Tribolium castaneum: one gene and its partner. The protein of the gene in region 1 purifies or fractionates together with the protein of each later gene. This does not show direct contact. Links are inferred from orthologs where the notes say so. Each region holds a gene or a part of one and is shown on either strand. Other genes may lie near its edges.

Evidence for each region. The genes of interacting proteins can lie anywhere in the genome.
Region 2: the proteins of cyp33 (region 1) and RNA helicase aquarius purify together in Homo sapiens (affinity purification with mass spectrometry; 5 studies listed by BioGRID and IntAct, counting the BioPlex papers as one, with this or other methods). This does not show direct contact. The link is inferred for Tribolium castaneum from reciprocal best matches to the Homo sapiens genes PPIE and AQR.

What each region holds. Positions count from the first base shown.
Region 1 is NC_087394.1:24,073,839-24,077,566, reverse strand, and holds cyp33 (peptidyl-prolyl cis-trans isomerase E), read left to right. Parts: upstream 1-847; coding exon 848-1,051; intron 1,052-1,098; coding exon 1,099-1,278; intron 1,279-1,327; coding exon 1,328-1,534; intron 1,535-2,877; coding exon 2,878-3,195; 3' UTR 3,196-3,257; downstream 3,258-3,728. Other genes in the region: palmitoyltransferase ZDHHC8, read right to left, coding at 24-181, 226-344, 404-495; small subunit processome component 20 homolog, read left to right, coding at 3,691-3,728. UniProt on the Homo sapiens protein: Involved in pre-mRNA splicing as component of the spliceosome. Combines RNA-binding and PPIase activities.
Region 2 is NC_087396.1:23,735,711-23,739,466, forward strand, and holds the start of RNA helicase aquarius, read left to right. Parts: upstream 1-1,275; 5' UTR 1,276-1,404; coding exon 1,405-1,473; intron 1,474-1,525; coding exon 1,526-1,626; intron 1,627-1,676; coding exon 1,677-2,385; intron 2,386-2,386; exon of another isoform or gene 2,387-2,494; coding exon of another isoform or gene 2,495-2,774; intron 2,775-2,822; coding exon of another isoform or gene 2,823-2,958; intron 2,959-3,118; coding exon of another isoform or gene 3,119-3,282; intron 3,283-3,338; coding exon of another isoform or gene 3,339-3,709; intron 3,710-3,753; coding exon of another isoform or gene 3,754-3,756. Other genes in the region: uncharacterized protein LOC659930, read right to left, coding at 1-49; mthl5 (probable G-protein coupled receptor Mth-like 5), read right to left, coding at 2,495-2,774, 2,823-2,958, 3,119-3,282, 3,339-3,709, 3,754-3,756.

The sequences.
Region 1 (3,728 bases):
TTTCAACCAATTCCACAACTCACTTCTATACAGTGGTTACAAACACTACAATGTGAACATCTCGGTGGTCTGTAGAACTTGCACGTGACGCACCATTTCATCCGCACCGTAATCCCGTTGATCTCCACGTTCTTGTACAAGGGGGCCCTGAAATCGTCCTCGCGGTCTTCATCAGGAGGGGCTAAAAACCAGCTCAATTAGCGCTACAAGGGGGTTGTTACGCACCTTTTGGTATGACCCCCGGGTCCATGAACGTAGCGAGGGTGAAATTGGCGAGGACGAAGAACGTGATCACTCCTTGGTACGCGGGCACCCATGGATAATCCTCTAAGTAGTATCGGGCTCTAACAAGCGTAACGTTTGCCTAAATTTGGTAACATAAACACTGACAGGAATAACTCACGGGTAGTAGAAGAACAACGTTGTGGCTACCAACAGTAAAGTCCAAGCAAAAGTCGCTGGTATGTATCTAGTTTTAACATCGCACTTGGGCATAATGTTTTTTTACTCAAGATCTCGCGCAAAACTCGAATTTTCGCCTCAGACAGGCCAACATGGCTGAGACAAACGGGAGAAGTTATCGTTCGTTGCCCCTGTCAAACTCATCTGACACTTGACAAAATCGGGGGAAAAGAAATTCCCCAAGTCGCACACTTTTATATCGATTTTTCACATTAATTACTTGAATTGAAACGGACGGCAGTGCTCAAGTAGTAATTAAAATGCCATTAATTTACGTTTTTACGTAAAAATCCAATGATGGTTAAACACTTGATAGTTGCGCAGGCGCGTTAAGGGTGTCAAAGGTTTCGCACAAAAGTGAGGTTGTGTCAATGTTTTTTGAAAAATGAGCACCGGTTCCAAACGCACTATTTACGTCGGGGGGCTCGCCGAAGAAGTCGACGATAAAGTCCTGAACGCGGCTTTTATCCCCTTTGGTGACATTGTCGACATTCAGATCCCTCTGGACTATGAGACGGAAAAGCACAGGGGGTTCGCTTTCATCGAGTTTGAGAGTGCGGAAGACGCGGCTGCAGCAATCGACAATATGGTAACACCAAAGTTAAATAATGGACAATTTTTAAATATCAGTTTTAGAATGATTCTGAGCTTTTTGGTAGAACCATCAGAGTCAATTTAGCCAAACCACAGCGAATTAAAGAGGGTTCGACACGGCCTGTTTGGTCTGAAGACACCTGGCTTCAGCAGCACGCAGGCGAGACAATCGGCAAGACTATTAATGATCCTGATGATGGAACTAAAGAGGCAACAGATAACGTAAAAATTTCTCTTGATTTTTTGATTTTTTTGAGCAATTTTTTCCCAGGATGCTGACAAAAGTGACAGCAAAAAAGTCAAAAACCCTCAAGTTTACTTCGACATTAAGATTGGCAAGACTGAAGTCGGTAGAATAACAATGCTGTTGAGGGCTGATGTGGTCCCCAGAACTGCAGAAAATTTTAGGTGTTTATGCACCCATGAAAAGGGTTACGGTTTTCAGGGCTCCACTTTCCATAGAATAATTCCAGACTTTGTATCCTTTTTACCCAAAGAAAAATTATATTGTCAACAAGCCCCATAACTTGTTTATCATAAGAAATATTCACTTTTTCTTTTTTTTCTGGATTATAACTGTGTTTCTGCTACAGATGTTAAAAATATTGCGGTATATTTTAAGATTTCCCAATATTAAAAAAAAAAACTAGTTATGTTTTTTTCAAATAGAACACTTTAAATTTTATTACAGTTTTGGACGTAATCGATTCTGTTTAGTTTTTGAAATAATTTGTTTTTTTCAGTTTTTCAAACTTAAATCTGTATCAACTGTTTAACGCATTGCAATTAGGAACGTAGAAAAATTAAGAAGTTTGTTAAAAGTTGGATAACCTGGAAAAGTTAAATAGAACACCCTATTTTTTGTTTTTGCTTCTTAAAGGTCATTAAATTGTCTAAAAACATAAAGTTTCAAATGCCTAAAGTTAATAACTAAAAATCTATTTTACTTTAAAAATTAATTTCAGCAGCAGTACACATTATTTATGAGCATTGTCGTTACCAGGACTAGGGGTGGGCGATATTAAGATTTAAATATCAATAATCGATACATACCGATATATCGATACACCGATACATATCGAAGATTGGCGAAATATCGATATATTATATTGAAGTATCGATATTTACGATAGAGCGATAAAAACATGGGTATTTATAGATAAATGATAGTACCTAATAAATGTTACTGTTAAATTTAAAAAAGTTGAAATGGTGAAATACTTGTTTTTTTTGTTAAATTTATGTTTAAATTATACAGAAATCATAAAGTTTTGTACTAATGCTAATATTTTTGCAAAAAATGTTCTAACCCGTCGATTTTAAATCGCCGTCTTTTTTGGGTAGGCAATCCTCAACTGTTTTTGGTTTTGATTACATTTTTCAGTTCTCTATTTAACAATTGTACAAAAAATTAAATCTTGTACGATAATTTTTTTTGAGAAGATCTAATTTTTTACGTTTAACTAAAGTTAAACGATAATAACGAAATTTGTCGGAATATTGATAATAAATTATCGATAGTTATCGGCATGTGGTGTATCGACAGTTTTAGATAATTATCGATATGTCTATATATATTGATATATCGATCTTTTTATCGATATATCGGTAAAAATTCCTAGCCCTAACCCTGACTACCTCAATATTTTCAAAATATGCAGCAGAAACGCAGCTGTAAGCTAAAAAAGGAAAAATCAATATGTCTAATAATAAAAAAATTTTGGAGCCTTTTCGGCTCGCTGGGACCTGTTTATTAAAGAGGGCTACGGCTGTGAAATTAAGTTGCCAACATTACTTGCTAAATTCCTTAATGACGGTTAGATGTGTCAAGGTGGCGATTTTACCAACCACAATGGTACAGGAGGAAAATCAATTTATGGTCGGAAATTTGTTGATGAAAATTTTGAATTGAAACACGTGGGTCCAGGGACTTTATCAATGGCCAATTCGGGACCAAATACCAATGGGTCGCAATTTTTTATTTGCACGGCAAAAACGGATTGGTTGGATGGAAAACACGTGGTTTTTGGGCATGTTATAAGTGGGATGGACGTTGTGAGAAGGATGGAAAGGTGTGGGACCAAGAGTGGGACGCCCACGGAGAAAGTAGTAATAGCAGCGTGTGGAGAAATACAATAAAAAATATTTAAGAATTTTTGATTTTATGTAATGAAAATAATAAAGAACTTACTAAACGTAAATTGTATTTTTATTTACCCAGGAATGTTTTAGGCACTAGTTTTTCGTATTTTAAAAGAGCACAAAAAAAGATTTAAATACTTTAAATAAAATAACAAGAAAATATTTAAATTACCTTTTTAATGTTTGCTACATTACCGACAGCCATATTGCCAAATTAAACTTGTGCAAAAGAATTTGTCTTTATTTATTTACTTTGCCACAAAGATTACATGAAAAGAATAAATGAAACACCTCGCTTTATTCACAAAATAGGTTACAAAAATTGGTATTATTGTGCAAGTTATAAACCTGACGATAAATTATTGAGTTGGCAACTTTGGGTTCTTCAAGTTTGAGGATTGAGGTTACGTTTATCATTGATAGGTTATGTTTGACCGCAGCATGTTTTTATTTTGTTGAATATCAAGACTAGTTTAATTTAATCCAACCACAATGAAGAATAAACCGATTCGTCACAAGGATTCAAACAC
Region 2 (3,756 bases), on another chromosome or scaffold:
GGAGCGGCAAACGGGTGCCGGAGTCGAGTTTGGGGTTTGATTCCGACATTCCGGAAATCACATCGCGGACGAGGAGGAAACGCAAGCGAGCTTCTTCCTGCAGCGGACGCGAACGGACTGAAGGAAATGTTTCAGAGGCAGACGCGCGCCGCGGATAATGGAACACTTGATGCACTTGAAGATTGGGTAATTCGAACACTGAATCATCAATCAGAGGATGAGGTGCAAGAGTGGAAGGAGATGGGACAAGGAGATGGATTTTCGATTTCGGAAACCAAAATTATTCGAGTTGTAATTTATTGACTTTTTTTGCTTTTGAATTTGACTATCAAAATCAAAACCAAATAAAACAAAGTAGTATATCAAAGAACGTGTTTTATTTTTTTACATTTATGGCAACGCCATAATACTACCATTAATTAACAATTAACAAAACCCTGAAGACACAGAATTAAACTTCGAATGACCATCATATTTAATAAAAATATAATATTTTATCTCAATTTTTTCCTAACATTTAAGCAAGATATATACTTGATTTTAGAAACTGCGCACAGAATTCAGAATTTACTGTAAAATACTAATTTTTGTAATCCCTAGAAATAAATACATAATAATTAGTTAAAAATGTTAAAATACAGAATAATTATACGAAGTTTTTTGATTTATGTTATTTCAATAAAAATAATGCAAAAACACTCTTAAACAATCTGTTGCAATAAGGCCACTAAAATTGAGCTTAGTTTAATTTTTTATTTTTTTCTAATGTAATTATTTTCTAGAATTCTTTTGCAAATAATTGCTTGTTTTAAAATGAGGTAAGAAGTAATAATAAACGCCCAGAAATGACTAAATTATTTTTTTATGATTTTCTCTAAATTTCTCGAGTTTTTTAAATTTATTAAAAAAAATACTTTAAGTTTTACTTTGATTTTCTTAATTTTATTATTGAATTTCTCTGCGATTTAATTCATCAGGTTTATAGTTAAAAACTTGCAAATTTTAGAAGTTTTTTTTCTTGAAGAGAACGAAAAACGTCCCGTGAAAGTCAAAAATGACTTTATTTTGACAATGTTTTGCTAGATTATAACTAATATTTGTATTAACTGGTCTTTCTAAACAATGCATTTTATTTTTGTAAAGCTCGAATCTTAATATGGTCTTTACTTCGAACAAGTATTTCTTGATCAGCAACAAAGAATTCGAGTTTTGTCTCAGTCAAATTTTCTTCCCCGTTTTTTTTGGATTCTCAATTTTTATTCAAACCGCGCCACGCTTGCACCAACACAACAAACATTAAGTAAAAAATCCCCAGAAATTTGTAGAGGTAGCGTTCTTCAAACGTTGTTTAATTAAAGTTTTTAACTAATTAACCATTTTTGCGTGGTGTGTGCCCCCAGCCGAATGGCCGACAACACCACGAAAGTGGTGGCTCCCACCGTGGAGCAAATTAACGCCGACCGAATCACTGAAGTGAGTTACCCCATCCTAACCTGAAACCTTGTTTACTTTCAATTTTCCAAAGTTTGCCGAAAAATACTGGGCCCCGCATTCCGCCCAAAACCAGCAACCCTTCGACTCCCAAATCGTGGACGACATATACTTGCAAGACATCCGCGGTAGCAAGTAAAAAACCAATCCACCGCTAAAGTGTGGTTATGACAATTTTTTTCCAGTTTTTCGATTCGTAGAATAATGGTGTTGGAGTTCAGCCAATACTTGGAGAATTATCTGTGGCCCAACTACAAACCGGGGGCTTCGTATGCCCACATGTTGTCCGTTGTGAACATGGTGAATGAGAAATTTAGGGAGCGGGTGCAAGTGTGGCAAGCGTTTCGGAAAAATCCCACCCATTTTCCTGATTTTTTCCAACAAGTACTTAAAGGATTGTTAGAAGACGAATTATTAATCAATTTAAGAGAGCAGACTTCACTGCTTGTGTTTCTCAATCATTGCTTCAATAGCATGGAAGAGGGGCTTTGTAGGGATCAAGTCAAGCGGTTAGTTTCGCTCTCAATGTGGGTGTCTTTACAACCCGGGCGTCGTGAATACGAGTTTAAGAAAAACCCAAAGTGGCGAAAGTATTGGAAAGCCATTCAGAAAAAAGATAAGCCAGAAGAGTTAGAAAGACTGAATTGGGAGCGGACTTTTTTGCACAAACTCATTTTAAAATTTTTGAATATTCTGGATACGATCACAGAAGATGGGATTTGTCCACTTGACAAAATCCACTACTGTGAGCGATTTCTTGAACTAGTGACTGACTTGGAGGCTCTTCTTCCTACTAGAAGATTCTTCAATACTGTCTTGGATGACAGTCACTTGGTGGTGCGTTGCCAACTCTCAGCTCTCATTAAACGGCCAGAGGGACACTTATTTAGCCAGGTGAGTCGTTTAATCATTTTTATTATAAATATTAAGTACACAATAATGTAAATTAAATACATAAATAATGTCAAAATTGGATAAAACGGACGGAATGTCGTTCAGCTGCCTAATAGATTCCCGTATTCATAGCTGTCATTTCGTCGCCCCATTCTGGTTCAGGTTCAGTGCGACAACACTTGCAAAAGCAATTTTCGTAACAACACGTTTTGCGTACCAGATATCCGACGTGTTTCTGGTTGAAAATACAAACGTATAAAATTAAAGGCCCTTGGAATGCATTCAATATTATGTAACAGTTAACTAGGCCAGTGAATTTGAAAAATGACATCAGGAAAAACAGCCATGTTATTGTCATTATTAGCAATAATAAGAAAAACATGCGAAAGCTGCAAAAAGTGGTTTAGTTTAGTTGGCAGATTGTTTTTGCTGTCTACCTGTGGGTTAATTTATGGTGGATGCGACCGTATGTGTGCATTCGGCTTATGATTTTTAATGTTGTGGCGAAGAAAAATATGTCCATTATTATTGTGGCGGCAACGGGGACGAAAAATAGGATTATCCCCAGGGATCCTGAAATAAACGTTTTCAAAATTTTAGTGCTATAAACAGAGTGAAAAAAATCGCACACAAACAAATTAAAAATTAAAATAATCTTGCATCTTTAAAAATTATACGATCATGAAGTATTATCCAGTAGAAAAAAAAGTTTATTTTTTTATTGTATGTTTACCGATTTCTTCCTTTTGCTCAAGCTGCGGTTTGTCCTCGGGATAGTCCATGGTAAAATGGGCAAAAACGGCCAAAACGCCCAACAAGAGCGTGCAAGACCATGAATACATCGAATAATAACAGTATTTTTTCCCATCTGTAATTCTCAGAAAAACGTTCCTTGACCTGCAATGACGTCAACATTTGCATATTTATGAAACGTCCGTTCGTATCAATATTACTTGAAGGTTTTCCAAATGTAATAACCCAAACTATTTAGCCAGAAAAACGCCCCCAGTAGACTGAAATAACAAATGGTATCGCTAATAATGAGGCTTATATGGCTATCAAAAACCGTCAAGAGTCGGATTAAATCAGCGGCTTGGCTGACAATAAGGCACATGCTGATTGTGGTAACAATGTTACCGACAAGATCACGTAAAGTTGGCATTATGAAGTAGATGATGGCTATTATCAGAAGGCACACAATTCCAATAAAGTGCGTTATGGGCGATACAATATTTCGCATTAAAAATTTCGTTTCAGTCCAATGTGTGTGATGATCAGGGGCACAAACGCGAGCAAATTGACTCACAAGTTTATCGTCGACTCTCTGAAACATTAAATTGGGCACAAGTTTAATCTAATAATTTGTACCTT